7 linked regions of the Macaca fascicularis genome follow. The main gene of each other region encodes a partner of the protein of the gene in region 2 in a complex. Links are inferred from orthologs where the notes say so. Each region holds a gene or a part of one and is shown on either strand. Other genes may lie near its edges. The genes, in order: AHI1, MKS1, TMEM107, CC2D2A, TMEM67, B9D1 and TCTN1.

What was found.
Region 1: MKS1 (region 2) and AHI1 share a complex: the UniProt entries of both Homo sapiens proteins name them as parts of the tectonic-like complex. The link is inferred for Macaca fascicularis from reciprocal best matches to the Homo sapiens genes MKS1 and AHI1.
Region 3: MKS1 (region 2) and TMEM107 share a complex: the UniProt entries of both Homo sapiens proteins name them as parts of the tectonic-like complex. The link is inferred for Macaca fascicularis from reciprocal best matches to the Homo sapiens genes MKS1 and TMEM107.
Region 4: MKS1 (region 2) and CC2D2A share a complex: the UniProt entries of both Homo sapiens proteins name them as parts of the tectonic-like complex. The link is inferred for Macaca fascicularis from reciprocal best matches to the Homo sapiens genes MKS1 and CC2D2A.
Region 5: MKS1 (region 2) and TMEM67 share a complex: the UniProt entries of both Homo sapiens proteins name them as parts of the tectonic-like complex. The link is inferred for Macaca fascicularis from reciprocal best matches to the Homo sapiens genes MKS1 and TMEM67.
Region 6: MKS1 (region 2) and B9D1 share a complex: the UniProt entries of both Homo sapiens proteins name them as parts of the tectonic-like complex. The link is inferred for Macaca fascicularis from reciprocal best matches to the Homo sapiens genes MKS1 and B9D1.
Region 7: MKS1 (region 2) and TCTN1 share a complex: the UniProt entries of both Homo sapiens proteins name them as parts of the tectonic-like complex. The link is inferred for Macaca fascicularis from reciprocal best matches to the Homo sapiens genes MKS1 and TCTN1.

The regions. Positions count from the first base shown.
Region 1 is NC_088378.1:39,536,723-39,541,396, forward strand, and holds the start of AHI1 (jouberin), read right to left. Parts: upstream 3,284-4,674; 5' UTR 3,101-3,283; intron 2,768-3,100; 5' UTR 2,706-2,767; intron 1,230-2,705; 5' UTR 839-1,229; intron 1-838. UniProt on the Homo sapiens protein: Involved in vesicle trafficking and required for ciliogenesis, formation of primary non-motile cilium, and recruitment of RAB8A to the basal body of primary cilium.
Region 2 is NC_088390.1:48,499,840-48,503,921, forward strand, and holds part of MKS1 (tectonic-like complex member MKS1), read left to right. Parts: intron 1-478; coding exon 479-587; intron 588-1,138; coding exon 1,139-1,195; intron 1,196-2,554; coding exon 2,555-2,597; intron 2,598-2,852; coding exon 2,853-2,918; intron 2,919-4,082. UniProt on the Homo sapiens protein: Component of the tectonic-like complex, a complex localized at the transition zone of primary cilia and acting as a barrier that prevents diffusion of transmembrane proteins between the cilia and plasma membranes.
Region 3 is NC_088390.1:8,261,266-8,266,003, forward strand, and holds TMEM107 (transmembrane protein 107), read right to left. Parts: upstream 2,952-4,738; 5' UTR 2,827-2,951; coding exon 2,740-2,826; intron 2,564-2,739; coding exon 2,496-2,563; intron 2,413-2,495; coding exon 2,294-2,412; intron 1,454-2,293; exon of another isoform or gene 1,355-1,453; intron 1,188-1,354; coding exon 1,091-1,187; intron 846-1,090; coding exon 776-845; 3' UTR 574-775; downstream 1-573. UniProt on the Homo sapiens protein: Plays a role in cilia formation and embryonic patterning. Requires for normal Sonic hedgehog (Shh) signaling in the neural tube and acts in combination with GLI2 and GLI3 to pattern ventral and intermediate neuronal cell types.
Region 4 is NC_088379.1:14,671,140-14,675,221, reverse strand, and holds part of CC2D2A (coiled-coil and C2 domain-containing protein 2A), read right to left. Parts: intron 2,511-4,082; coding exon 2,348-2,510; intron 1,331-2,347; coding exon 1,194-1,330; intron 574-1,193; coding exon 442-573; intron 1-441. UniProt on the Homo sapiens protein: Component of the tectonic-like complex, a complex localized at the transition zone of primary cilia and acting as a barrier that prevents diffusion of transmembrane proteins between the cilia and plasma membranes.
Region 5 is NC_088382.1:103,464,317-103,467,258, forward strand, and holds part of TMEM67 (meckelin), read left to right. Parts: intron 1-2,047; coding exon 2,048-2,190; intron 2,191-2,942. UniProt on the Homo sapiens protein: Required for ciliary structure and function. Part of the tectonic-like complex which is required for tissue-specific ciliogenesis and may regulate ciliary membrane composition.
Region 6 is NC_088390.1:19,085,125-19,088,285, forward strand, and holds the end of B9D1 (B9 domain-containing protein 1), read right to left. Parts: intron 1,499-3,161; coding exon 1,431-1,498; intron 1,101-1,430; coding exon 958-1,100; 3' UTR 817-957; downstream 1-816. UniProt on the Homo sapiens protein: Component of the tectonic-like complex, a complex localized at the transition zone of primary cilia and acting as a barrier that prevents diffusion of transmembrane proteins between the cilia and plasma membranes.
Region 7 is NC_088385.1:117,497,894-117,502,423, reverse strand, and holds the start of TCTN1 (tectonic-1), read right to left. Parts: upstream 3,199-4,530; 5' UTR 3,172-3,198; coding exon 2,952-3,171; intron 1-2,951. UniProt on the Homo sapiens protein: Component of the tectonic-like complex, a complex localized at the transition zone of primary cilia and acting as a barrier that prevents diffusion of transmembrane proteins between the cilia and plasma membranes.

The sequences.
Region 1 (4,674 bases), on a different chromosome or scaffold from region 2:
CAGATTCATCTCTAGGGACATCAGTTTCCTAATCTTTCACAATAATAAATCACTCAGTGTTTTTACAAAGATTAAATGAGAACATGCAAGTAAAATACTTGGCACAATGCCTAGCACATGGCAAACCCTTCAAAAAGAACAATTGTTATTACTGTCACATGTGTGTGTCTGTGTTTATGTATATAATCATATTATGTTTATTAGGCAATCTATTAATCCAGCAGGGAGACCCTAGGCTGAAGATTTGGGAGTTATTTATAAATATGATAGTTGCAAGAAAATAAAAAGCCAATGAGAATCCTGAGAGCCCACAATATAAAGTAAAATCAGGGAGACAGGTAAAAAACTGGGAGACAGAAGCATTACAGAAGGAAAGAGTTTTAAAGGAGATGTAGCCTATATACTGTGTGGCATCAAAAGGGGCTGGAGGTTTTGAAGAAAGTCCACTGAATCTGCAAGAAGGAAGTCACGTGTGTCAAAGCTGTTTATGGAGGGGCAGAAACCTAGCAGGCTGGGGCTGAGGGGTGAATGGAAGGTGACCCCTGTAGAAGGGACATGTAGACAATTCTTTACAGAATTCTTCCAACTGTCTTTCCACCACCCCTAAAGGCAGTGACATGAGACAGTAACTCTGGGACAAAAACACTGTGGAAGGATTATGCTGTTTGTTTTAAGATTGTTTCCATGCCACTATCACCTTACCCTTTTAAAAAATAAATCATCATCTATACAGCAATCAGTGTAATTTTCTAAAATTCAAATGTGACGGTGTCATTTCTTTGCTTAAAATTCTTCCCTAGCTCCCAATCACACACTGAAAAAAATATCAAGTCCTTACCATTGAGGTCCAAGGCCATTTATGAAATGTCCCCTTCACACCATACGCTGTGTTCCAGCCATGTGAAACTACCTCCAGGCCTTCACATGTGCCACGTCCTCTCTTGCTTTTGTATCATTACACATATATCCCCTCTCCTGAAAAATGTCCTTCCTCCTTTGTCACTCTAACAAACTCCTCATTATCCTTTGAAGGCAAGTATCTTCTCTAGAGAGCATTCGCACCTTGAAGGGCAGTGAAGCACTTCTCTTCTGTGCTCCCAGGATGCCTGAATCTTTGTAACTCCCTCTACCTCAGCCCTGAATTTTCATCCTGGTTAAATGTTCTGTCTCCCACCAAACTGCTAGCTTTGGAGGCCACGCCAATGCTCTCTATAGTTATGTATCTGGCACTATGAAAGAAAAGAGGAGAGAGAAGAGAAAACACGAGAAGCAAAGCAAAGCGAAGCAGTAGCAACGGTCCTAGAGTAAAAAAGACTCAGGTTTGACCTCCAGTGTCACCACTTACTGATGTGTGGCATTGGGTAAGCTACTTAATTTCTAATCCTTGGTTTTTCCTTGTCTGGGAATTTAAAATGGCACCTGTTTTAGTACTGCAAGGAGAAAATACCAAAAAGCAAAGTAATGAGTACACTGCAATAAAATTACTTTATGTCCAGTATTATTGTATTAAAAATAAGTAATTATTAATAAAATACAGAAATCATAGAATTATTTACTGTTAATAGCTTAATACACAACTGAATAAATACTAATATTATTTAATAACACAGCAAATACATTATAGAAATAATCTCTAATTTTTTTTTTTTTTGGAGACAAAGTCTTGCTCTGTTGCCCAGGTTGGAGTGCAGTGGCACAATCTCAGCTCACTGCTGCCTCCGCCTCCTGGGTTCAAGCAATTCCCCTGCCTCAACCTCCCTAGCAGCTGGGACTACAGGTGTGCGCCACCACGCCCGGCTAATTGTTGTATTTTTAGTAGAGATGGGTTTTCACCAACATTAGCCAGGCGGATACTGAACTCCTGACCTCAAGTGATCCACCCACTCTTGATCCTCCCAAAGTGCTAGGATTACAGGCCTGATCCACTGTGCCCAGCCATCTCTAAATCTTAATGTGTACTACAGCAAACATATGATAGAATTAATGACTAATATTTAATTAGTAACATTATCTGCGAAAATTCAGGTCGGACTTTAAAAGACACCTCCGAATCTTATATATTCCATTATTTTACAACTTCTCCCTCACAAACCCTTTCACAGGAGCTTCTAAGAGATACTATGTAGGAAAATTAAATGGATTACACCTCATCTCATTTTATTTTACAGACCACCTGATTATCAGCCAATATGTGACTCAATATCAATGGGAGAAAAAATTGAGAGGCTTGATAATTCCCTCTTTAACCAAATGTTATCGCAAGGGAAAAAAAGACAAACAAAAATCCTGTACACAAAATTCAATGAATAGATCAACAAGATTCTTCATAAGTACACAAGATTCTAACTTCATAAATATTATTCTTCATAAACAAGATTCTAAGTATGGTTTAATAACACTTTTGGTATTTTAATTTTTTCAAGCATTCTTTAAAAAATTTCCCAGAGTACTCATAAGAAGCAATCTTCCTCCTAACCCAAGCAATAACAGTAACTGCTAATGCAACAGGTGAAAAAACTGTTGGCATCTCTTTCTCAAAAGGGAAAAACTTTATTTTCACATTAGATGTTTTCACAGGAATGCCAAACGCAGCACAACCTTTGATAAGGATGCTTAAATGGTCTACATTTTTATTCTATTTTTATGCATCTCGAAACAACCCTATTAATATAATCTGGCTCTTATAAGTTTAACAAATTGATCACCTTTTCTCAGACGTAATTAAGTAGGCTTTGACAGGTTGAAGATTCAGCCCCAGGATGACACTCTAAAAGGAAATAAACACACTCAGTACGCATCTGATTTAAAAGCATTTAAACAAGAATCGGGAGTAGGAAAGGCAAAGATTGAATTCCCTATCAGAACACCATGCTCAACTCTCCGGAGACACCGAGACCAGTGAAAGAAGCGGAAAAGTACGTTGAGGACTCCGGGAAATCGCATTCCTCCGGGACACCCGGCCCACGCTCCCCGGTCAATCCGCGATCAGCCCCCGCGCTCTCGGACTCCAGCAGCCCCGACACGCCGCCCCGGAGAGGGCCGGGCAGGCCCAGCACCCCGGCCCGCGCTCCCGCCACCAGCGAACCCACGAGGTACTTACGGAGAGGAGGAGTAGGCAGAACCGTCCGTCCCGCCCAAGCCGACACCCGGAACAGTGCAAATCGACTCCCCCGCGCCCAGCGGCGCGGGCGCTAAGTGAGGCGGCCACGAAGCCACCTTACCCGCCAGCGACCCGGGTTCGGAGAGCAAGCCACTGCTCTGTGCCGCAGTGCGGACGACTCGCGGCCTGCTGACGTCAGCGCCTGCCTACACCGCCGTTCCCATGGCGACCGACGCGTCTCGCGCGCTAGGCCCGGACCGCGGCCCCGCCCCCGCCCCCGTCCCCGCGCCGCCACCGCCTTCGCCTCAGCCCGGGAGAAGGGGCCGCGCGGCGCCTGCACCGGGGCCCTCAGGCTGTTGGTGGGCGCGCGCTTCGGGGACCTTACCGGCCTCCAGCCTCCGAGGCCGTGCGAGCGGGAAGGGAGTCGGAAATGCGCGGGTGCTCCCACAGAGCTTGAGTCTTCCCCGCCCTCACCTCCAAAAATACTCTTTCCGCCTTAGAATTGTAGCAAGCGCAGGGAAAAACTGACGGGGCAAAGGAAAACTGGGGAGGCTGTTATGGAAGTCGCCCAAAATAAGAAAATCAATGAATGAGGCAAAGAAACAGATTTGTCACTCCCCACGCGGTCGCGCCCACAAAAGAAAACATGATTTTAAAGCGTGGAAAATGAAGTTGTACTACAGACAAAATCTTAAGAAAAAATTATGCACGATTCCTTTAGAGCTATCTCCCTGTGTGTGGAAAACAAAAGTTAAAACGCCATACTTTTCTGTACCTAATGCTCCCTCCCACTTTTCTGATTTCTGCCGCAGGCGCCATCTTCAGCTCTGAGTCACCAGGGCTGGAAAAATACTAGTTGCGCTACTCGTGGACTCATGAATACACGCCATTTCCTGTACCTACAGCCACGCGCTGTAACCTGTTGCTTCGTTTGTACAGAGAGAGAGTTTACGGAGGCCAGCTTTTCCATTCTCACTGGCATTGCCACACCTTACAAACTATATCTCTATGCCATGTGCTTCCCTAAATCCTTTGAGGAAGCAACGAGAAAGATTACTAATCCGCTGTGTACCAAACTGAGCTGTTCAACTTTGCATTCTAAACCTACTCTCCTAGATTTCTATCTTGCTGTAAGCCACCACTATCTTGCTGTAATCTTGCACTATCAAGTGTCAAACACTTGCTCCCAGTGTTTTAGTAAGAACTGTAGAGTATCCTAAATGCATCTTATACCAAAGCATATTCATTCTCTCTTTTTAAATTCCTCAGGTGGGCGCTTTACCAGTCCTGTGACTCCAGTTTTGACTCTTAAAATTCCCCACACTGCTATCAGAATGTCCTGACTAAAAATGTAAATCGGATAATGGCTCTCTCTTGCTGAAAATTCTTGAAAGGCAACGTGTAAGAGAAAATGATTGCTTTGCCTAGGATACAAGATGCTCCATCTCCCTGACTAATTTCATCTCTCGTTAGCTTATTGTTCCAATTTTATGCAATATTGAATCATGTGTATCATGCAGTTTTGTGCAACATTGAATTATGTGTACTATGAAAAACAATCCATAGCCTTGCAC
Region 2 (4,082 bases):
CACCAATTTGAAAGGGATCACTTCAGTGATACATTTAAGTGACAGTGATTCTCCGTGCTGTTGAATGTAGGACCTGACCAGAACAGAGTGGGGTGAACTCAGCCAGGCTTTTCCTGTGGGCTCACTGTTCCTCATCTCTGTATCTTGAAAATGACAGAAGTATAAATTAGAAATTATCTGGACCAACCTGTCCATTTTTCAGGTGAAAGAACTGGGTGGCAGGAATGTTGTGCCTTACAGTTTGACTATAACTTCAGGCCAGAAATGGGCCCAGAACCTATACTGTCTGAGTCTAGTCTGGTGCCCTCACTGCTTTATCCTTTTGTTTCTCTTTCCTGGTCATCAATACAGCCATTTTTATCATCATTTACTTCAAGTGAGGTGTATGGCCCCTGATCGCTTTTCCCTGGGCTGGGAGCTATCCCCAGGCCCATCTCTCATTATTAGGTCGCTCCTTTCTGTGGCTTTGACCTTACAGGATCGAGACGGAGGGAGAGAAGCAGGAGCTGTGGAAATATACGATCGACAATGTTTCCCCCCTCGCACAGCCAGAGGAGGAGGAGCGGGAACGGCGTGTGTTCAAGGATGTGAGTGCGAGTTCATTCCAAGTATCGAAGGGACGAGCCTCAGTGCCTGGAGCTGAGACCGTTTCTGGACTTGATGTCAGCAGTTGCTTGGGAAAAGCCTTGCCCTTCATAGCCCCTTCTGACTTAGGCGGCATTGCTGACATATCAGAAGTTTTTGATCATATTATAATAATAACAATAACCATTTATTTGAGCATTTACCATGTTCTGTGCTAGGTACTTTACATACCTTATTTCCTTTAGTCCTTACAACAACCCTTTGAGGTGAACACTTTTCTTATTACTACCTTATAAGTGGGGAAACCGAGATTGAGGAGCTAAGTAGTCTGCCCAAGGTTACATAGCTTGTAAGCGCGAGAGTCAGGATTCTGCCCCAGACCAGCTGACTCCAGGGCCTCTGCTTCACAGTAAAATGGCGGTGGGTCAGGTGCTTGTGCCTCCAGCTCTTGATGATCCTTCCCACTATTGCTTTTCTTCTTCTTCCTGTTCAGAACTGAACTTTGGTCTAGCTTGGGTTACATCTTGAGTTTTGGTTTGGTTTGTTTCCTCAGCTTTATGGCCGGCACAAGGAGTATCTCAGCAGCCTCGTAGGCACTGACTTTGAGATGGTGAGTAGCTTGGCTTCCTGCAGCACTGTGAGCTGTGTTTAGCCGGAGCATTCTGACTGTGGATGGGTTACAGCACTTCTCTTAAAGGCCTCCAAGGTATACTCTACGGTGTGAAAAGGAAGTCAAAGAATAGCACATATAGTCCTTGTTATGTGTTTTGCAACATTGCATGTTGATAGAGAACTGTTAATGCCGAGAAAAAGGCCTGAAAGGCTACGCATATGCTGTGGGTGGCTTTTTTGGGGAGGGTGGGATTAGATGTGGTAGATGGGTAGTGGGTAGTGAGAGGGATATATCAGGGATTTTTGCTTTTTATTCCCTAAACTCAGGTAGTTTTGAATTTTTATCAGTGGTAATGTATTTATGTATTACTTTATAATTAATTTAGAAAATAAATATAAGGATGAAAAATGTCTTCTTCACCTTTCATGTGGATATTTTTTCAAAATACCCCATAGAGAGGCAGGGGTGCCATTTCTGTTTGTCACATATTTTGGCTCTTAAAAAATATAGGCCCGACGTGGTGGCTCATGACTATAATCCCAGCACTTTGTGAGACCAAGGTGGGAGGATCACTTGAGGCCAGGAGTTTGAGACCAGCCTGGGCAACATAGTGAGACCACATCCCTACAAAAATTTAAAAAAAAAAAAAATTAGCAAGGCATGGTGATACATGCCTGTAGTCCCAGCTATGCATGATGCTGAGGCAGCAGGATTGCTTGAGCCCAGAAGTTTGAGTTTGCACTGAGCTATGATCACACCACTGCATTCCAGCCTGGACAACAGATCAAGACCCTGTCTGAAAAAAAAAAGAAAGTGGTTTAGTTCAGCTATTCTGTCGTGCTGTTCTTTGTCTTTTCTCGTTCTAAGTGTTCCATCGCTAGACCTGGAAACAAGGATAGAATTACTGGTCTCCCTCTCTTTCTCTGAAAAATTAACATTCACTGTTTCCATATTGCATAAGCAACAGATATTCAGTATTTAAAAGTTAGATAAGACAGATGCACAAATAATTAAAAAAGAAAACTCCCTGGTTTCTTGACCTCAGCTGTGTAAAGGGAACCGGGCATTCTGGCTTCCTATTGCACACCACAGGGCAGTTGCTGTTGCTTGGCTAATTTCCCATAGTGCATTGTCCTTACTGCCATTTAAATTATGTACTTTCCCCTTACATTATGTATCTTAGGAATGAAGGAAACAGATCTGTGGAGAAGTGTCAGGGTGGGGAGAAAGTGCAGTAGTGACACCCAGGATCTGACCCCCAGTGTCAGGATATCTGCAGATTTGTAGATGAGGCTGGAGGAGAAGTGCCAGTTCCCTTCAGGCCTGCTGATCCTTTCCCACTTCTCTTCACCTTAGACTGTCCCAGGTGCCCTCCGGCTCTTTGTAAATGGAGAGGTAGGTAAGTGTCTTGCTAGCATAGATCTCTTGATGCTAAGGCACGTGCCTAGATGTAGCCGTGAATAGTCTCCTCCACCCTGGTAGAGGTCTTGTCTGCTGTACTTGGGAAACTCAGTGGTGAGTCTTTCCTGGAAATGCAGAGGGTTCCTGGCCCTCAAAAGACTTGCTCTCAGGGTGTGTTGGACCCTCAGGACTGGGTTGGGTGCTAAGGGTGGTAGGATAAAAAGCTAAAATAGCTTCCTGTTTTCTCTCTTAGTTTCAGCCCAAGGCTATGAGTATGACAATCTCTACGTCCACTTCTTTGTGGAATTGCCAACTACTCGTAAGTAATATTCTTAAGTCTCTCTTTTATACCCATTCAGACAGATGTAGAGGCATTTGGTCAGGCTTCCTTTCCCACTCCTCTGCTGAAACTGTTACTGTTCTTTTCAAGGTTGTAGATCACATCCACTTTGCCAAACCCAGTGGGAACTTTCCTGCTTTCACCTCGCTTGACCTTCCTAGAGCATTTGCCAGAGCCCACTGTGCTGCATGACACACTTCTCTGGCTTCTGGCTCCACATTCTCTCTCCTGTCTCACTGGTGGCCCCTCACCTTCCTTGGGTAATGCCTTCTCTTCTGCTGATCTTACACCGTGAGGGTACCCATGGCTAAGCCAAGGCCTTCTGTTACTCTCTGTCTGCAGTCTTCCTGGGTGACCTCATCCATCCCATGGCTTAAATACCATCGATGTGTCTCAGACTCCCAGGTTTCTGCCTCCAGCCTTAGCCTGGACGCCAGACTCGTATCCAGTTACCTCTTTGTCATTTCTGTCTAACATGATCAAAGAGAACTCTGGATTCCTCCTCTTCCCTCAAACCTCTCCTCCCTGGTATTCCCCATCCTAACAGAATGGCAGTATCTGAGTTGCTGATGCCAAAAACCTAGGGGACATCCTTGATCCCTCACTTTCCCTAGCTCCCTATAGCCAGCCAACCTGTCAACAGTTCCTGTGCGTTCTGTCTTCGAAAGCTGTTGTGAACCTGTCTGTTCTCTCCAGCACCCTACACCAAGCCACCACCGTCTCTTGTCTAGGCCAATGCATTCAACTTCTGACTTATCCCCCTGCTTCCTGCCTTGCTCCCATTTGCAGTTCATTTGCCACAGACACCAAAGCCAAGTTGAGTTTTAAAAAATGTAAACAAGTTATGTCCCTTTTGAGCTGAAAACCCCCAAGAGCTTCGCCTCCCACTTAGAATAAAATGTAAACTCAATACCCTGAATGAGCCTCTGCCTATCTCTTCCGTACAACATTTCAGTCGTTCTTCCCAGCCAGGTTCATTCCCCCCTTAGAACCTTGTAAGGGCCATTTCCTTTGTCTGAAACCCTTTCTGCCATATCTTAGCATGGCTGGTTCTTTCTGAGTTTAGGTCTCAACCTGTGTCACTTCTGAAAGGCCTTCTCTTACCACCCGGCCTAAATGAGCCTCCCAGTCACTCAGTCCCTT
Region 3 (4,738 bases), about 40 Mb from region 2:
AAACGTAAGTGATCGTCAGGAAGAATCAGATAGGAGCAATCAGGGTGTTGCAAGTCCTGATTACGCAGAGACGTTAATCACGTTTCATGCATTCTCCAATCATCATGTTCTCATCTGCCCTCCAAAAGAGGAACAGGTAAGGATTATCCCACCTGACGATATTTCTAAAGAGCCGACATTCCGCACTCAGTCAAAAAGATTCCGTTTACAGCTAGGGTGAGTTCACGACGCGTTGGTATGAGTAACCCTACTACTTAGCATCCTTCCAGTTGTATTGCCATATTTGCTTGCACATTTTTAAAAGAATTTTTTCATTCGGCTGCCGAAAAGGAATACATTTCTTTTTCCCAGAATGCTCCGATCATTTACGTGCTGGACGTTCTAACTGTAAGCACTTTCTATTTACATATCTCCGCCCACTCCCTTCCGCCAGACAACTACCGTAATAACCAAAATAGAAGCGATACCAAGTATCTTACGGTCTGCAGAACTAGAAAATAACGTTGCTTCTTTTTTTTTCTTCAGTAGTTTCGCCATCTCAATTGTGCCTTGAAAACTGTATATGTCTTAATCTTACTACAAAACATATTTTATTACAAACCACTAAATACAATGCGGATAATCCCAGACTCAAGACGTAATTATTCCAACACATATCCTCCAGCAGAAGCAGTTTCCGAGGGGAGGACCGAAGCCTATGCCTTCCTTCTTCCAGGAATACGAAGCGGCCCTTGCCCCTGTAGCCTTCGTCCTTAGGTTCCCGTCATGAAGGTGCTCAGAAAGGTTTCTTTTTCAGCCCAAAGACGGTGACGAATAAAGTCATTTCAGTGACAGCTGGAAGGGCACTACCGAGGCAAGTGGTAAATTCAGAAACCCTTTCAATATAAATACCCAAATCTCCAAACCAGAGACCCCACCCCTGAAAGTGTAGGACAGGTGGCATGGGGTAGGGAATGAAAATTCAAAAGACTACAGGATGTTAAGTGGATCTGGTATCTCACACATAGAGGAAAGGGCTGGGTGGGGGAAAAACCCTCAGGTTTAGGGTCAGCCTTCCTCCCTCATTCCCGAATATTGGATGCTACCACACCTGCAGAAGACAAAAATGTACCAATACGTAGTGCACTCCCAACGCTCGAATATGAAGAAGGACAGGGCCACGGATGCACTACAGTGAGCCCCAATGGCTTGGGAAGGCACCAGAGTTAAGGAAAGTCTTTGGATCGACAGATAGTGAGGGGTCAGAAAAGGCCAAAGGCCAGTGGTGGGGTTGGCATCTGCATTCAGGTTCATCGTTTGCTCCCTCACCATATTGCAAGGGCTAGAGTCAGCATCCCCGACTTCTGAATTTTAGGACAGTCATGTGAGGAGAGACCAGAAGTGACTGCGCAGATGGGATCTCAGGCTACCCTACTCCATATCTAGGGGCCAGCCTGGATCCTTCAGATGAGAGGTAAGAGTAGGCTCTCCTGCTATGCCACACAGGAGTGCTGACAGCGACTTGATATGCGCTGGAATCAGCCTCCAGTGTCCTGGTCCTCCTGGTCCACAATTCTCTGACCCATGTGCCTGGCTTCCGTTGCCTCTTCTGAGTTCCCAATGTGCTTTATATCTTTCGTTTTTTGCCAGAGTCTTGCTCTGTCGCCCAGGCTGGAGTGCAGTGGCACGATCTCAGCTCACTGCAACCTCTGCCTCCTGGGTTCAAGCAATTCTCCTTCCTCAGCCTCCTGAGTAGCTGGGATTACAGGAGTGCACCGCCACGCCCGACTAATTTCTGTATTTTTAGTACAGACAGGGTTTCACTATGTTGGTCAGGCTGGTCTTGAACTCCTGACCTCAGGTGATCCACCTGCCTCGGTCTCCCAAAGTGCTGGCATTACAGGCATGAGCCATCGCACCCTGCCTGTGCTATCTTTACACACTCCCATAGCACACTGCTTATCACACTGAATTACAGATGTGTATCTACCTCCTCCTCATGGTTAAAAAAAAAAAAAGTGGAGTTTTTATTATTACTATTTATTTTGTAGACACGGGGTCTAACTATGTTGCCTCCTGCGCGGGCCTCCCACAGTGCTGGGATTACAGACGTGAGCCAACGTGCCTGGCCAAAAACTGTATTTTACTCTCATTTCGGAATTTTAAGTGCCTAGTAAACAGCAGGATTTAGCACATGGTTGAAGATCTTTGAACTGGAGAGACTGGCTACAGCAGACACTATTGTGTCAGGTGGCTGAAGGGAGTCCTGATAGAAATGGGTCGTGTGGGAAAGGTGGGCAGGCAGAAAGGATACAGATGAGGCTCTGGGTGCTGTTGAACATGGAGACTCCTGAGAGGAAACCGGCCAGCTCCACTGCAAAGAGGCCCAGGGTGACAGAAAGCGCGGCCACCAGCCTGCAGAGAGGAAGTGGACTGGCTCAGGCCTTTGGACTTCTTCTAAGACCCCTCCACTCCCACCACCTCTTCGTTCTGGCCACCCCGTCCTAAGAGCTCACTGAATGTCCTGCTTGTCATACTCCTCGGGGGTGAACCTGAGAGGCAGGCAGGCCTGAATGTTGCTGTCCTGGGAGCAGGGCAGAGAGGAAGAGAAGTGAAAAAGGGGCAGGCTGCTGGGCAGGCCTAGGGACGGCGGAACACGAGAAAACCCAAGTGGGTAAGACACTGGGAGAGGGGCAGGGTGGGGCGGGGACGACTCCGAGATGGGAATGGGGGCGGACGGAGGGCAGCCGTGGGTCTTACCCGGGACCAGAATAAGGTGATGACGACCACCAGATGCGCCAGGATCGTCAGGAAGCGAGAGGGCACAAGCCCTGAGACCCGGCCCATGGCCCTTGGGAACAAGAGCGGCGGTCTCTGAGGCTGGAAGTTCAGAGACTGCGACTCCCGCAAGTCCACCAGCAAGCGGACAAATCTAGACGAACTCCTCCTTTCCGCCAGCTCAGGCACCGCCCAGTTGCCTTGGTAACCGCGTACGCGGGCGTGCTGCCGCGTTCTCGGAAAACCTCGCGAGAGCAGTACATTCTCCATCTGCTGTGGGTCTTTCAGGGCTAACTCAGGTCAGGGGTACCCGAAGGAGCTTCTAACCCAATGGCTGGGTACCCGTGCGCAGCCAGGCCCTTTGTTTCTCAGAGGGTGAGGGGTGGCACAGCCGCGCAGCGCCCGATCTGCCCACGCAGGGCCGACGAACGGAAACCCACCCTGGCCTAGCCTGGGGACACCTCTGCTTCCGCGGTTGCCCACGCCGGGAGCGGCCCCCAGCCCCAGCTACGCTGCCCAGTTGTGGATCACTTGAGATCACTCCCACCGCCACGCCGGGCTGAGGTCCCCGCCATGCCGAAGACTCACACCCGCTCCCCTTCCTCCTCTCCTCATGCCTTTAACTTCCCACCAAGCTGGGCCTGAGAAACAAGGGACCCGAACGTGGAGAGGCCGGTGTTCCTGGACTGCTCGGCAGTTACAGATTGTCACAGAGCCCCTGGTTGTCTGAGGACCCTAGGCCTGAACCTTCCTTGAGGAAGACTGATTTCTCTCAGACTACTTTGCTCAGTTTGGTGAAGGATTTGCAGAGTGCAAAAAGTGGTCCGCGTCCTTAAACTAGCGTGGGAATAAGAGCAAAGCAAGGTGGCTGGAAAGGTGGGAGTGGACGAAGGGAATGGTACAGTCCCTGCGTCTCTGGGAGGCTTGGAGCCTACGGGAAGGGAAACTCAACTTAGATTTCTTTATCTCTTGGAGGTGCTGGACCTCCGACATTGCCCAGCTACAGTCCAGGAAGCTCTTATCACCGGCGACGTCATGACCTTTGGGCCTCAGCGCAGGTCCCTGCAGATCTGAAAGTTCTTCTCTAATTGCTCAGTCAAGTCCCATCCTCAAGGAAACTCCCGGCCCATTTCCCAGGAGAACAATATCTTCCTACTTCCCACTCGACGTCTCAGTGCCTTTAGCCAGACTAAAGTACAAGCCCAAGAGGCATTTCTCATTCCTTCAACAAATATTTTTATATATTTATTTATTACCTAGTAATAGTATTCTAGTCAGGGAGATCAACAACAGACATGCAAACAAATAAATCCGTAAGATAATAGGTGCTACAAACAGGGATACGCGGGCCAGGCACAGTGGCTCACGCCTGTAATCCCAGCGCTTTGGGAGGCCCAGGAGGGCGGATCATCTGAGGTCAGGAGTTCGAGACAAGCCTGACCAACATGCTGAAACCCCATCTCCACTAAAAATACAAAATTAGCCGGATGTGGTGGCGCGTGCCTGTAATCCCAGCTACTCGATTACTACTACTCGATTAGCTACTAAGGCAGTGGAATCGCTTGAACCCGGGAGGTGGAGGTTGCAGTGAGCCGTGCCATTGCACTCCAGCCTCTGCAACAAGAGCACAACTCCGTCTCAAAAAAAAAAAAAAAAAAAAAAAAGGAAACGCTAGAATTATAATTCTATAAAAGTAGGGCATTTATAATTCTATAAAAATAGGGCATTTATTCTTAAACTTTATTTTAGAAACTTTGGCCAGAAATTGACCGGGAGTGGTGGTTCGCGCATATAATCCCCGCACTTTGGGAGACCGAGGCAGGGAGATCACCTGAGGGCAGGAGTTTCAGACCAGCCTGGCCAACATGGTGAAACCCCATCTCTACTGAAAAAAAAAAAAAAGCCGGGTATGGTGGCGCGCGCCTGTAATCCCAGCTATTCAGGAGGCTGAGGGAAGGAGAATTGCTTGAACTCGGGAGGC
Region 4 (4,082 bases), on a different chromosome or scaffold from region 2:
TGGTAGAGCAAGGGCTGGAATTAGGCAGCCGGTTACCAGACTTAGGAAAATACGATATAAAGGATTTGCAAGGATAGAAAATCTCTAGCCATATAATAAAGAGACAACAAATGGGAAGTGGTCCTGCAGCAAATGTGAGATGACAAGGGAAAAGAGAGGGCAAAAGAAGAAAAATAAGGGTAGCTAACCAGGATGCGTGAAAAAAGATCCTAACTCAGTCATTCCTAGCTAGGAAACTCACTCCTTGTTTAAGAAGGGATTCATTGAGTATAATTAGACTTACTCTTACGTAATATGCCTGATGTTTGTTCTTTATGTGTAAGATTGTGAATTATTTTAAAAAATTAAAGTGGAATGTTATAAACATAGCACCCCAAGCTATTCAAAAAGCAAAGCACTTTCAATTTCATGTAATAAAAGTGGAGAGAGGGGAGTGTCTACCTTTTTATATAGTGTTTCAAGCTCTGCCTTAATGCTCTGCTCCTGTGTTAGTACTGGCCGCCTCGAAGGAAATGGCTTGATGGGGTTTGGCAGAGCTAGGATCCTACCGTCATCTCCAAACCATCTTCTTTCCTGTAGGTGAAGCAGAGGGAATGACAACATTCTCTTCTAATTGAACAGAAAATGGTTTATAACACAAACAACGTTTCTTGAAAATTCTGTGTCAACATATATATTTCATGTACCTCCTCCCCCAACAGAACTGTAAAAGTCTGTTTCCATTAGAAATCAAGTCTTCACTAACGCCTCTCACAACTGATTTAAAATGTACACCCTGGCTCCCTAAATAGTATTTTAAAGAACTTAAATGAATGCTTAAGAAAAATTTATTTTCTATTCATTAAACATTTAAGAAAAAAAAAAAACGCAGGATAAAAACTCAAAATTGAGACTATTCTACCTATGGATAATTTAAAAATTCTGTCAAGTACGAAAAGGTTGCCAGCATCTGGTTTAGCAGGAAAAACACAGATTCAGCTAGCAAAGATGGATTTTGAGCAGTTGAGAAGTTGTGTTATTTGAGGATCAATAAATGTACTGAGAGAGAAAGTTAAAACAAAAATTGAACCACTTTCTGTGGATAACCTCAAGAGGAAATGAGTACAGTGGATGCAATGACTGCCCTGTTAGGAAAATAAAAGCTATGTCTAGTGCACCCAGGCCACACTTGGGAGCAGAACGTGCACACTTACGGGATCCTGCATCAGCAATCTGTTCTCCATGATGTTCTGATTGGTGCGTGCCACCTCTGGTCTTACCCCAGTGTAAAGGCCTTCATCTTCCAGGAACCTGGGCTGTACATTCTCAGGAAGCTTTTTATATGTAGGGACTAGATAGTTTATAAATAAATAAAACATTAGGACCAATCTAAATATCTCAAACTGCATTTTGGTGAATTAATCACTAGAGATTTCATTTATGTTTTTAGAAAATGCAAATTTTCCAAATTAATTTTTAAAAGCAGAACCAAGGGAAAGATGAATGTGCTCACTTATAGGAGTATGTTGTAGAATCAGGTATTTAAAGAAAATACCTAAATAATTTAATATGTAACTCATCAGTGTGGCATACTGAGAAGAAGGTAGTATTCAAATCATAGGACAAGGGACAAGTTTTAGCTTTATTACTTTTCAGCTGGGTGAATTGGGGCCAGGCACTTCTTTGAACTCTCTCCTCCTGTACAAAAGAGATAATAATCTACTTAACTGGGCTTCTGGGAGAATTAAATGAGGTAAAGTATGAGGACGTGCTTTGTAAATGAACAGGTTTATATGAGTGAACGTGATCATTACCTCATTTATTCATTCACTACTTTATTCATTCATAGAACACATCTTTACTGACAGCCTCCTTGTGCCGGGCACAGATGAGACTCTGGGAATCCAGGCCAGTCCCCTGCTGCCTTGGAGCTTGGATTGTAGTGGGAGTGACAGGCAGCAACAGGAAGCAAAGGTCTCTACAAGATCACGCCATAGAGTAGTAGGAAAATACACGGGGAATGGTGACTTAGGGAAGGGTGGGGATAAACTTAAGATGAAAGAAAGGCTGTTCTCATAAACTCTCAGCCCCTGTAACTGATCACTGATTTGATAAAAGGCTTCCCACAGTACTTTGGTGTATCTTCCATTAGTCTATCAATAAGTGTTTGTTGAATGGATATTTTTCCATGTTCTGTGTTTTTTTTTGTTGTTGTTGTTTGTTTGTTTGAAGATATTTCTGGATTGTTAAATCAGATTAGAAACTGGAATCAGATCTGGAGATGAGGCATCCTTATGCACTAGCCATATTTCATTACAAAATAAGTGACGATTTCTAAACTGAACAAGAAAATAAAAAGAGCAAGTACCTGTCTGCCTACTGGGTATGAAGAGCATTTCTGTTTCCATCTGCAGCCGATCATGAATGCTTTCATAATCTGCAGGTCTGACTGCTACAAAATCATCAGCCATGTGATCTAAGCCCAATAGGAAGTCCTCGGCATCATCACCATTAAGCAGTTCTTCCTCATCCTGCATAATGTTAAAAAGTAACAAGAAAAAATCATGCTAAGATTTTTAGTTAGAAAAATAATTAACAATACCAAACTCATGAAACTTAACATTTCCTACAACTTTTATCTTTTCCTTTTATAAAAAATGAAAGCATAGAACTATATAATCTTTCATATTTAACAAGTGGGTTTAAAAAAAAATTGTTTTGCACTATTCTGCACACCTGGAAGATGTCAAAATCAGAGATGGCTGTTTCAGAAGAGAAGTGGTAAGCAAAACAATCAAAATCCCAACAGATATGGCCTCCTTTGAGGGTGCTTACTTTTGGCCATTTATGTAAAGAATTGGGCTCATAATTTATGTAGCAGTTTAACCTTCCACCTGGCACTAAACCAAGGGAAAAGGCACCAAGTGTATAGGTGCACAGTCTACACACCCTGTTCAGACTGCCTAGGTTTAAATCCCAGCTTCACCATATACTGTCTGAGGAATTTGAAACTGCTTATTTAACCATCTGATCCTCAGTTTCCTCACTTATAAGATGGTTATAGTAATAGAGTTTACCTCTAAGCACTTTGTGGGGATAAAATTAAATGATGCACTTAAAAATTCAAAGCAAAGAGGCTATAATCACAAATGTTAGCTGACATATATTGATTTTGTTTGGATATTTTCCAAACATCTTCTCCCCCTTCCTCTTTTTCTTTCTCCTTCTTTTAAAAATTTAAACCTGGTATCCATTTATGAGCAACATCTTTTAAAATCCTGTGGAGACTTTCAGGTAGCTGAAGACAACGATGGCAGTCTAGCTACTTGCCTCTTAATATTTCCTCCCCATGTACACGCAACAGTAGGGAAAGAAAAAGGGAATCTATGTAGAAACCATGCTTTTAACTTAGCTTGAAGACAGAGAATGTCGAAACATCGAACAAGTGAAAAGAGGAAGATCACCAGATGGCAGTGTGTAATCTTCCTTCTCCTGCCCCACCTCTGCTTTGTGGTGAGCAAAATCACCCAGAGAAAAACTGCAGAGAAGACAGAAAAGGGAAGCTAGCAAAAGGGGCTACAGAGGATCTAAAACTTTGTTCAAAAAGACTAAATCAACCTTGAAGATGAAAATACTTTAAAAGTGTCCGGGCAGAGCAGAGCATGGACTATAGGGAAGGGGCTTCAAAATGTGTGTGATTTAAAATGTGTGTGATTTTAGGAAAACAGAGCTTCTGGGGCAGTGAATAGGCAAAAGGAAGGGAGAAGTGGCCTTTGGTGGAAAGTGTCATAATCTCAGAAGATGTTCACAACTGGAGACTTCTATCAACAGGTGAAGCCCAATTCTCCTCCATTTGAGAGTGCACTATGCCTCGTGACTTGCTTCTCCTGAGTAGAATATGGCAGAAGTGACAGTGTGTGGCTCCTGAGACTAGGTCATAAAAGGAAGTGTGGCTTATTTTTTGGGTTCTCTCCTAGATCACTTGCTTTTGGGAAGTTAGCTGTCATGTCAGGAGGACACTCAAGCAACACTGAATGAGCTGAATGCTGATTTGCAGAACGATTGTTATAGTATAAGCTAAAATATTCCTGAGCTTCTATAAA
Region 5 (2,942 bases), on a different chromosome or scaffold from region 2:
GATCTGCCCGCCTCGGCCTCCCAAAGTGCTGGGATTACAGGCATGAGCCACCGTGCCTGGCCCTATTATTTTTAATAATACAATAGTCACCTTCTTTCTTCCTGCTTTTTTTCTTCCTTTCTCCTTCAGTCTTCCTTCCTCTTCCTCCTCTTTCTAACTGTATTCTTCCATCTCTCTATCTTCTTCTTTTTTTTTTTTTTTTTGGAGATGGAGTTTCGCTCTGTTGTCCAGGCTGGAGTGCAGTGGCGCAATCTTGGCTCACTGCAACCTCCGCCTCCCAGGTTCAAGCAATTCTCCTGCCTCAGCTACTCGAGTAGCTGGAATTACAGGTGCCTGCCACCACACCTGGCTAATTTTTGTGTTTTTGGTAAAGATGGAGTTTCACCATATTGGCCAGGCTGGCCTCGAACTCCTGACCTCAAGTGACCTGCCCACCTCAGCCTCCCAAAGTGGGATTGCAGGTGTGAGCCACCGCTCCTGGCCTCACTATCTTCGTCTTCATCAAGAGCTGATGAGACTATGAGCTAAGGCAGTAGCAGTGGGGCTAGAGAAGAAAGGATTGCCAGAAATGTTAAGGGAAAAGACTAGTCAAAAATTATCCAGACTTCTGGCTGTGTGACTAAGTGGGTGGTGGTGCCTTTCAATAACAGAGGCAATACAGAAGGAGGACCAGGTTTTGAGGGAAAGAGGATGAATTTAGTTTTCAGTATGTTGCATCTTGAGGTACTTTAGGACATCTAGGAAGAGGTATCCAGTAGGCATTAAATATAAGGGACCAGGTCGTAGGAGAAAGTAGAAGCACACAATAAATTGAGGAGTTGCTATCATATGAAGTCATTGCTGGAGCAGTGTTAGTAGAAAATCACCAAGAGACAGTATGTAAAACAGGTTTATTTTTAAGATTATATATGCAAGTATAATGTGCATATTTTGTAAGGATATAACTTATAGGTCAGTGAATTTTCACAAACTGAATATACCCCTGTAACTAGTACCCTTTCAAGAGAGAACATTACCAGCACTCCAGATGCCCCCTTGTATAAAGCAGATGTTCCTAACTGGGTATCCCCGGGCTGCTTCAGTGGTTTTCTGGATTTCCCTGAAATTGTTGGCAAGACTTGTATATGTATGGTTTTTTTTTGTTTTTTTTTTTCCTGGTGGAAGGGTCTTTAGCTTTCATCAGGCTTTTGTAGTTTTTTGTTTGTTTGTTTGTTTGTTTAGAGACAGGTTTTTGCTCTGTTGCCCAGGCTAGAGTGCAGTGGTGCAATCATATTAATAGCTCGCTATAACCTCAGACTCCTGGGTTCATGCACTCCTCCCATCTCAGTCTCCCAAATAGCTAAGACTACAGGTGTGCACCACCAGATCCTTTTTCTTTTTTTTTGGTAGAGATGGAGTCTCACTATGTTGCCTAGGCTGGTCTTGAACTCCTGGCCTCAAGCAGTCCTCCTGCCTCAGCCTCCCAGAGTGCTGGAATTACAGGCATGAGACACTGTGCCCGGCCTCATCATAATCTTTTTAAAAGGGTGTTCACATCCCAATAAGGATGAAACCCGCTGGTGGAGTGAGAAGAGAACTTAGAGCAAAACCTTAAGGGGACTATTTGAAATAAATTATTGAACTCTTGAACACTGTGTACTATTCTGTGCCTTGCTGGGTTTTTTCTCTAATATACTCTATCTTAGGGAATGTTTGTAAGATTAATTTAGCTTTTAGTTACATAAAGAAATAGAGAAAGGCTATTTATTAACTGGTCTTTGAAACTTACACTACTAGCAGTTACCAACCATTGGTCCTAATGTTAAAACTGCTTTATAGGAGGTGTTATGAGTTTTTTAACTAACCTCTTTTAGATGAGCAAATCTTAAAATTTTTGTTTATTTTTAATTTAATTATTTTGTTTATTTTTGTGTAAGCCATGAATTATTGTATATAGTATGTTTCTAATGTGCTATTTTTAAATATCCAGATTTTGTCACCAGAAATTTATCACAGACTTGTTCCTTTTTTAAATTTCTAATTTATATTTTCTAAACTTTTTTAATAGATGAAGGTTATTCTTTCAGCAGTGTCCTGTATTATGGAAATGAAGCTACCCTTCTTATTTTTGATCTGCTGTTCTTCTGTGTTGTGGATTTGGCTTGCCAAAATTTTATTTTAGCATCCTTCCTTACATATCTACAACAAGAGGTAAATTTTAAAAATTTTTCTACATTTCCCTTCATTTTCTTGAGAGAAATATGTTAGAAGTAGATATTTTCATAGCAGAGAGTAACAATGTCTACTTTTACTACAATTTTGTAAAGGTTTAGAATATGACTAACCCCACCAAAAGGAGGAATAACATTTCAAACAACTGTACTCTGTCCTTTAGGGTCAATGAAATACTGAGGTCTAGTGGAGGGCATCAGTTGCTTGATTATACATGGAAGAGGAATCCTATAGGAAGACATTTAACTACTAGTCTCCTAGATGCTACAAGTGAACAGTAATTAGAGTCCCATCCACCCTCTCCACCAGATGTTAAGTAACAAAAAAACAGGCACTGGAGAGCTAGCTCAGGGCTCAGCACCAAAGGGAAGCCCCCTTTAGCCTGCAGCTTTGACACCTCGTCTACCAGTGTAGATGAAAAGCAACTTTGTGTATGAGTGTGGACCCTGAAATAGAGATCTCAAGAAATGGCAAATCTGTTCTTGAAATGGTGTTATTATCAACTAAATATTCTCCACTATGTCAAAGAAGTATATATGAGTAAGATGCAATTTATTAGTCCTTGACAGTGATCTAGAATTGTGCAGAAATTCTCTCCCTAGCGAGTAGATTCTTTTGATGTTTCCTTAGTTTTAGACTTAGAAGAAAGTTGCCTTTCTAAATATTTTAAAATGTATCCCTGTGAACATGAGAGAATTTGTATTATTAATTCATAAGAATTTACTCTAAAT
Region 6 (3,161 bases), about 29 Mb from region 2:
AGGGTCAGCCCAGATGGTCTCAGGGCAAGTGCCCATGACAGTCCAGGGCAACATGGGCGAGGCTGGGAGGTGGGGGTGTGCCAGGAGCCTGTGGTTTCTTTTGGATCCCGCTGAGGGCAGTATCCAGGCTGGGGCACCATGTCTGCCTAAAGCTCAGTGGCAGGACAGAGAGGGCCCAGGGCTGCCTCGTGAGGTGCCAGGGATTCTTGGGAAGGTAGGGAGGCCCAGGGCCAGGGCCCCCAAAGTAATGCTAAAGGGGTTCTGCTTCCAGAAGGGCCCGGACAACCTTAGAGGTCAGGGTGTTGAGCCAGGGGGCTCACCTTCCTCTCCTGCGACCCCAGCCAGCAGCCTCCCACCTCTGGGAGATTTCGAGCCCCCATCCTTGGACTGTGGGTAGGGAGGAGCAGAGAGGGGAGTGGGCAGCCTGAGGGTCTGCTGTCCCCCAGGTACCTCACCATCCAGCTCCCGATAACAGGGTTCTCTCCTTGCCAAGGGAGGCTGGTGGCCAGGAGCATGGCTGAGTGGGTGATTCTACTTAACCCCCAAGCCTCCAAGGAGGGTGCCATGCCCAGTTCAAGGAACAATGTGTTGAGGTATAGAAAAGGCCACAGCTGTGAGTGGCAGAACCTGGTGATGTCAAAGCTCCCATCCCAGATGCCATCCTGCTGCACGGTCTGGTCTTCTGGCAGCTTCCATGGCACAAGGGGTAGGGACAGGGAGGGCCCTGGAGGTGGGGCCAGGAAAGGCCCAAGAGCTCCCAGCTCCTGTGGGGGAGGGGCTAAACAGGAGAGAAGGCAGCCCCAGGCCTAGGCTCTCTGAAAATGAGACTTTATTATATAAAACTATTCTGTGTGCCCCCAGCTCCCACCACCAGGCTGCCCTTCAGGCTGATGGCCAGCCGCCTGACTCCGGGAAGGCAGCCCTTCATTATCAGAAACTCTGCAGCCTGGGGAGCCTTCACTGGGGGAAGCCCTGGGGTGGGCTGGGCCGCGACACACCCTGTGTGTCCAAAGGCCCAGTGTCGTAGCCCAGCTTCCTCATGTCCTTGGTCACCACGTTGAAGAGGAGGGTGACAAAGCCCTGAGAACGGACACGGGTCACTGGGGACAGAAGGACAGCATCAGTCAGGCTGGGATGGGGCAGAGACAGACCCAGGTTGATCTGGGAATCTCTCAGCCTCAGTGTTCTCATCTGTAAAATGGGGACAACAGCGCCTGACCCATGTCCCTCACTGGGAGGTAAAGGGGCTGCCAGGACAGGCAGACATGACAAACCCTCTGTGCTCCAACCAGGCCCTCATCTGGGAACATCTGTGGGCTAGCTCCCATGTGCCTGGCAGGTCCCCAGCATTCACCCCAACCCTGGGCCCATCTACTCCCAGGTTCTAACCTGTCTGGGGGCTGAGGGTAGAGGAGGGGAGGGAGCTTTACCTTCCCGGCCTTCACCCTGAGCCACCACCTTGGGGTCTGTGTACTCGGGTCGCCGCCCCATGAACCAGCTGGGAACACAGAAGAACACAGGTGAGCAGGGCCCCACCCGGGCATTCTTGGCCTTGGACAATGCTGGATGTAGGCTCTCTGTTCAGAAACCAGTACTCCTGCTCCAGCTGCACCCCACCCCCACCAGGAGTCAGGCCCTAAGCAGAGCCTTCCTGGTGGCCGGGCTCCAGCGTGGTGCTGTCCCTTGCCGGGGTCACACAGCCTAGCCAGGCCTCAGGCGCTCTGTGGGCCACGCTGCCTCCGCTGGCCGGTTAGGCTTTTCCGTCTCTGGCTTCCATGGGTTTGGTTCACTGGGAATGAGAGCTCAGGGAGATTCTGGGGTGGGGGTGCTGCCTGAACCCCCAGAAATCCCAGAAAAGTGACAGCAGCTGAGGTGGGGGAGGGGCGGGGACAGTGTGACCCTCCAGCCTTCCTGGAAGGGGGGACCCTACCCCAGAGAGTCTGTGGGGTGGGCAGAAGGGCCCGAACTGGCCTCCTCAGCCTTGCCTCCCACTAGTGTGGGGTCCAGGACATGTCACTTCCCATCTTGGCACCCACCGCAGGCCCTGCCAGGGGTGGCCCACAGCCACCAGGCTGAGCATGTGCCCTCCCTAGCCCCAGACCCCAGTCGGGCCGGGCGGGAGGCCAGGAGGCCGGGGGTGTCAGGCCCCGCCGCCGACACACCCACGCGAGCCGGAAACAACCAGGAGCACTATTCCCGGCCGGGTGGGTCCGGCAGCCGCGGGCTTCGCCCCGCCGGGACTCGCGGCCCCGCCTCCCCTGCACCACAGCTCCCAGGGCCCCCCGCAAGGACACACCCAGCCCCCGAGGGTCACTGGCAACCGTGGCGACGCAACAGCCCACACACCGCCCTCCTGTCTCTGAGGTGGGCACCAGCGCTCACCTGGGGCTGCTGCAGAGGGGCCCAGGGCAGGAAGGGGCTCCCGGCTGCTGCAGAGTTGGCCTGTGGAGACCACAGCCAGGGAGCACTGCCCACCAGCCCCCAACCCCAAGGAGGAAGCCAGGGAGTGAAAGCCAGCGGGCGCTCCCCAGGGGGAAGGGATGGGCAGCCACAACCCCTGCGCCAGTTTCTCCTTCGGGAGAGTGAGGCTGTCACAGCACCCACCTCACAGGAGGCTGTGTGTGAGGACAGGGGCCTGGAAGCGTCCCCACTGTGCCCAGCAGATCCCAGCCCGGCGCTCACATGGAGCTCCCGTTCCCACTGAATTTCTTTCCTGGGGTCCACCTGGGTGGTCTGCTTAGCTGGCTGGGGTGGGAGAGACAAGACAGACTGTTCTGGGAGGGCATTCCAGGCAAGGACCTGAGGCAGGGAAGGACCCCTCAGGCTGGAGGAACTGAGGCGGATGGGAAGCAAGTGGGCAGAGGCCATGGCGTGGGCAGGGCCCGACTACCAGCCTGGCAGCATTCTGGTTGAAGTTCATCCTGACAGAGGCACAGCCTGGGCGGGTTCTAGCAGGCGAGGGGTGCAACCCCAATTGTGTTTTAGGAACACCGTTTTTCTTGCTGTGTGAAGACTAGACTGGAGGGGTTGCAGCAGGCTGAATGGCGGCCCCTCAAAGACAGCAGATCCTAGTCCTGGGAAACCGTGCACGTGACCTTATTGAGAAACAGGGTCACGTGCACTTTGCAGATATGATTAGGCTAAGGATCTTGAGGCAACTA
Region 7 (4,530 bases), on a different chromosome or scaffold from region 2:
CCATAAAAGGTATAATGCACTCTGGAAAAAAATGTGTGAGGTGAAGGGGAAGGTTTTGTTAATACATGATAATTTCTTAGTCTAAGACACAAAAGCTTTCCCCCTAAAGTTTAGAGTGCTTCTAATTGAGAACTCTTCTATGTGCTTAGTAAAATGATACAACTTATGCATGCTAATGTAAAAAATAAAAAGTGCTTTAGGTTCCCTGTATGTTTAAAATTACAATCTTGCTTTGTTTTCAAAACTTAAAGCCCTTGTAGGTAGCTATAAGACTACTAAGGACGAAGCAATAGTGTTTAATAACTCCACTTAGGAAAAAGGTTTCTACCCAGGATGCAAGTGCACTTAATCATCCAACAAGTAGCTGTTGAGCCCCATCAGGTCCAAGAAGCACTCAGCTGCTCTTGCCTCCTATAGCATCTGCACACCTGGCTTGTAGAGCAGGGTACTAATGAACAGAGCCCAGATTCAAGATGAAGGGTTATCACTCTTCTCCACCAACACTGCCTGCAAGCCACCTGCAATGTTCCATCCAGTTCTCCACTCAGAGTCAGCCTCCTGCTCTAATATCTATAAGTTGTGTGTTCTAAAATTAGGCAAATAATTTACCCACCTGAAAAATGGGGATAACAGTACCCTCATGAGGTTGTAAGGATTAAATGAGATACATCATAGGTGAAATGCTTAGCACAGTGCTAAGTGAACAGTTAACAAATGAGTTATTACTGTCACAAGTCTTAAGAGAGGTCCTTTAAAAAAGTGAAGACAGGCGACAGGCAGAGTGCGGTGGCTCATGCCTGTATGGAGGCACTATGGGAGGCCTAGGTGGGCAATCACTTGAGGCCAGGAGTTCGAGACCAGCCTGAGCAACATGGCAAAACCCCATCTCTACAAAAAATTAGCCAGGCGTGGTGGCATGCACCTGTAGTTCCAGCTACCCAGGAGTCTGAGGTGGGAAGATCACCTGAGCCTAGGAGGTCGAGGCTGCAGTGAGCTGTGATCATGCTACTACACTCCAGCCTGAGTGACAGAGTGAGACCCTGTATCCAAAAAAAAAATAAAATGTGGGGACAAGTACAAATTCATCCCCGATAATGGAAAAACAGCCTTGAACACATGCTATAATAATGATGTTTCAAGCATAGCTTTATTTTGGAGAGAAAATGCATTAACAGATGGAGTACTTACATGAATAAAAGACAATCCAGTCCAAAAACTACTTAGAGTTTCAGACATTGAATACTTGGCTTCATTCTGTCCCAGTTTGTCACTGATTTAACTTCCCTACTAATTCATCAAATCAACAATTTAAATATAAAACAGAGCTCTGTTTATATATTAAAATAGCAAATATATTTCTCTGTAGTTTTTCTTTCAGATTACTCATAATTCAGAAAGAGCTTTTTGGAGAAATCAAGGTTCAGTAACTGAAGTTAAGTTCTAGAGTTCAAGATACCAGCTGATGACTTTTTTACCTACTAATACTGAGTCTTAATCAATCTGAGAAAAGATCTTCTTAAGAAGGGATAGTCCAGGCACAGTTGTTTACACCTGTAATCCCAGCACTTTGGAAGGCCAAGGTGGATCACTTGAGCCCAGGAGTTTGAGATCAGCCTGAACAACTTAGCGAGATCTCATCTCTACTAAAAATTAAAAAAATTAAAAAGCAAGCTGGGGGAGCACACCTGTGGATCCAGCTACTCTGAAGGCTGAGGCAAAAGGATCCCTTGAGCCCAGTAGATTGAGACTTAAGTGAGATATAATCATGCCACTGCACTCCAGCCTAGGTAACAGAGTGAGACCTCGCCTCAAAAAAAAAAAAAAAAAAAAAAAAAAAGACTGAAAAAAAGATTTAAAGTACTGCATACCTATTGGGGTTACTCTCAATCCACACAACTGGAAAATTTTAAAAACTTTGAGATCATGAACCACTTTAAGAATCGGCTGCTATGAACTCTCATCTCAGGAAAAGGCATATTCACAAAGTTTTGCACTCAATCTTAGAGGGTCACAGTCATTCTCTGAAGTCATCCACGTCAATTTTTTTTTTTTTTTTTTTTTTTTGAGACAGTCTTGCTCTGTCGCCCAGTCTGGAGTGCAGTAGTAATTACGGCAACCTCTGCCTCCTGGGTTCAAGCTATTCTCCTGCCTCAGCCTCCCGAGTAACTGGGATTACAGGCATGCACCACCATGCCCGGCTAATTTTTCTATTTTTAGTAGAGACTGGGTTTCGCCATGTTGACCAGGCAGATCTTGAACTCCTACCTCAAGCAATCCACCCGACTTGGCCTCCCAAAGTGCTGGGATTACAGGCGTGAGCCACGGCGCCAGCCAAACGTCAAATTAGATTATAAAATATTTCCACTAAATGTGTAATTCTAGAATTAGACAATCATTTTCTGAAAAAAAAAATGTTAATTATCCCTAAATATGACTCCTAAGAAGTGAGCATAACCCCTCCCTCCATGGCTTCCCACCTCCAATTCAACACAGGAGGAATCCTGGGTTTTTAGAATTCAGGTCAACAGACAAGCGTCTTAACCTAGTCACATTTAGTAAGATAGACCTTTGGCCTCTCTTTAAGTGAAAGTTCCATGCAGCCTAGGCACCAATTTCCACCATTGTCTCGACTTAATTTCGTCTTGGGCTGCAAGGATTCATTCATTATTGCTCTTTGCATTACTGTTGTCTGGGATCACTTCAAGTATTTTCAAAGGTCTGATACCGTACCACTTAAACTCTCTGAGACCCGGTTTTCTCATTTACATGACAGTGATAGTAAGAGCTACCTCTCAGGGTTATTGTTTAAAGAACGGACGTTTATGGAACACTTAGTGTCTGCACACAGTAAGTGCTCAATAAGCGTTAGCTATCATTATTACGTCCTCAACCGGGCTGCCCCCTTGAGGTTGGATCCCTGTGGACCACAGGAGCTGGCACATAGTACCCACCGTCCGTGACTGGGGTAGGCCTGGGGCCGGAGGAGGACCCTGGTGCTCTAGGAGTACCAGGGGGCCTGGTCGACGGGAAAGGTCCGAAAGTCGCCAGGGCTGCCTCGGTGGAGTTGAGGCCCTCTGTCGTCACCGCCGGGGTGGCCTCGGTCTGGGCGCTCACGGAGGCCCAGCAGCTCAGGAGTACCACCAAGAGCGGCGGGAGGCCTCGCGGCCTCATCTTCCAGCGGGTCCCAGCTACGCCCGCGCCAGGGACCGCGCGTTGCCCGGCAACCGCTACACCCAGGCGCGAGGCATCACGGGAAGCGGCTTGCTAAGCCGCGAGAAGCTGCCGGAGACTGACGGGGGCGAAGCCTGGATGAGGCAGGGGGCGGATCCTGGATGAGGCCAGAGGGCGGAGCCTGGGTGAGGCAGCGATGGCAAGCACTAGGGCGAGCACTAGTGAGCGGCTGTGAAGCTGGCATAAACGAGAGGCGTGTAAATCCCAGCTGTGGTTCCCAACCGGTCTGCGGCGCTTACTTAAAAAATGTGGATTTTCTGTAGTTCCAGCTACTCGGGAGACTGAGGCAGGAGAATCGCTTGAACCCAGGAGGTGGAGGCTACAGTGAGCCGTGAGCGTGCCACTGCACTCCAGCCTGGGCGACAGTGCGAGACTCTGTCTCAACCAAAAAAAAAAAAAAAAAAAAAAAAAAAAGACGGATTTCCAGGTACCACCTCAGGAGATCCTGAGTCAGTAAGGCTAGGACAGGACCCAGGAATCAGTTTTTGGGGGATTTTTTTGAGACAGGGTCTCACTCGACATGTCGCCCAGGCTGGAGTGCAGTGGTTCGATCTCGGCTCATTGCAGCCTCGACCTCTGGGGCTCAAGCAATCCTCCCACTTCAACCTCCTGAGTAGCTGGGAACTCATGCGCGCGCCACCATACCCAGCTAATTTTTGTATTTTTTTGTAGAGACGAGGTTTCCCTCCGTCGCCCGGGTCTCCCTCCCAGGCGTCGCCCAGACTGGTCTCAAACTCCTGGGTTCAAGTGATCCACCTGCTTCAGCCTCTTGAGTCCTGAGTAGTTGGGATTACAGGCATGAGCCACCACTCCCAGCCAGGAATAAATATTTTTAACAAATGTCCCGACACAAGCAGATGAGTTGGATGGAAATTTGGGAAGCGCCGTCTCAACACCACTAATGTGGGTGTTTCAAAGGAGCATAGGGATCTGTGAGATCACTGTCCCTGAATTCTCTCTATCCCAGACTCTGTCAACACTGGCTTCACCTTTTTTGTTTTAGCTGCATCTCACAAGGTTGCCACATAACTTCTGTCTGCTGTATTGTGATAAAGGGGACAAATGAACACTTAATAACTTTTATTATCATTATTTTTTGTAGCGAGGGGTCTCACTATGCTGATCAGGCTAGTCACAAACTCCTGACCTCAAGTGATCCTCCCACCTCAGCCTCCCAAAGAGCTGGGATTACAGGCATGAGCCACCACGCCAGGCCTAAGAACTTTTTTAAAGACAAAAATCTTTCACAAAAATTAAGTAAAATAATTTAGACATCTTAAAGGGGAAAACAAAGCAAAT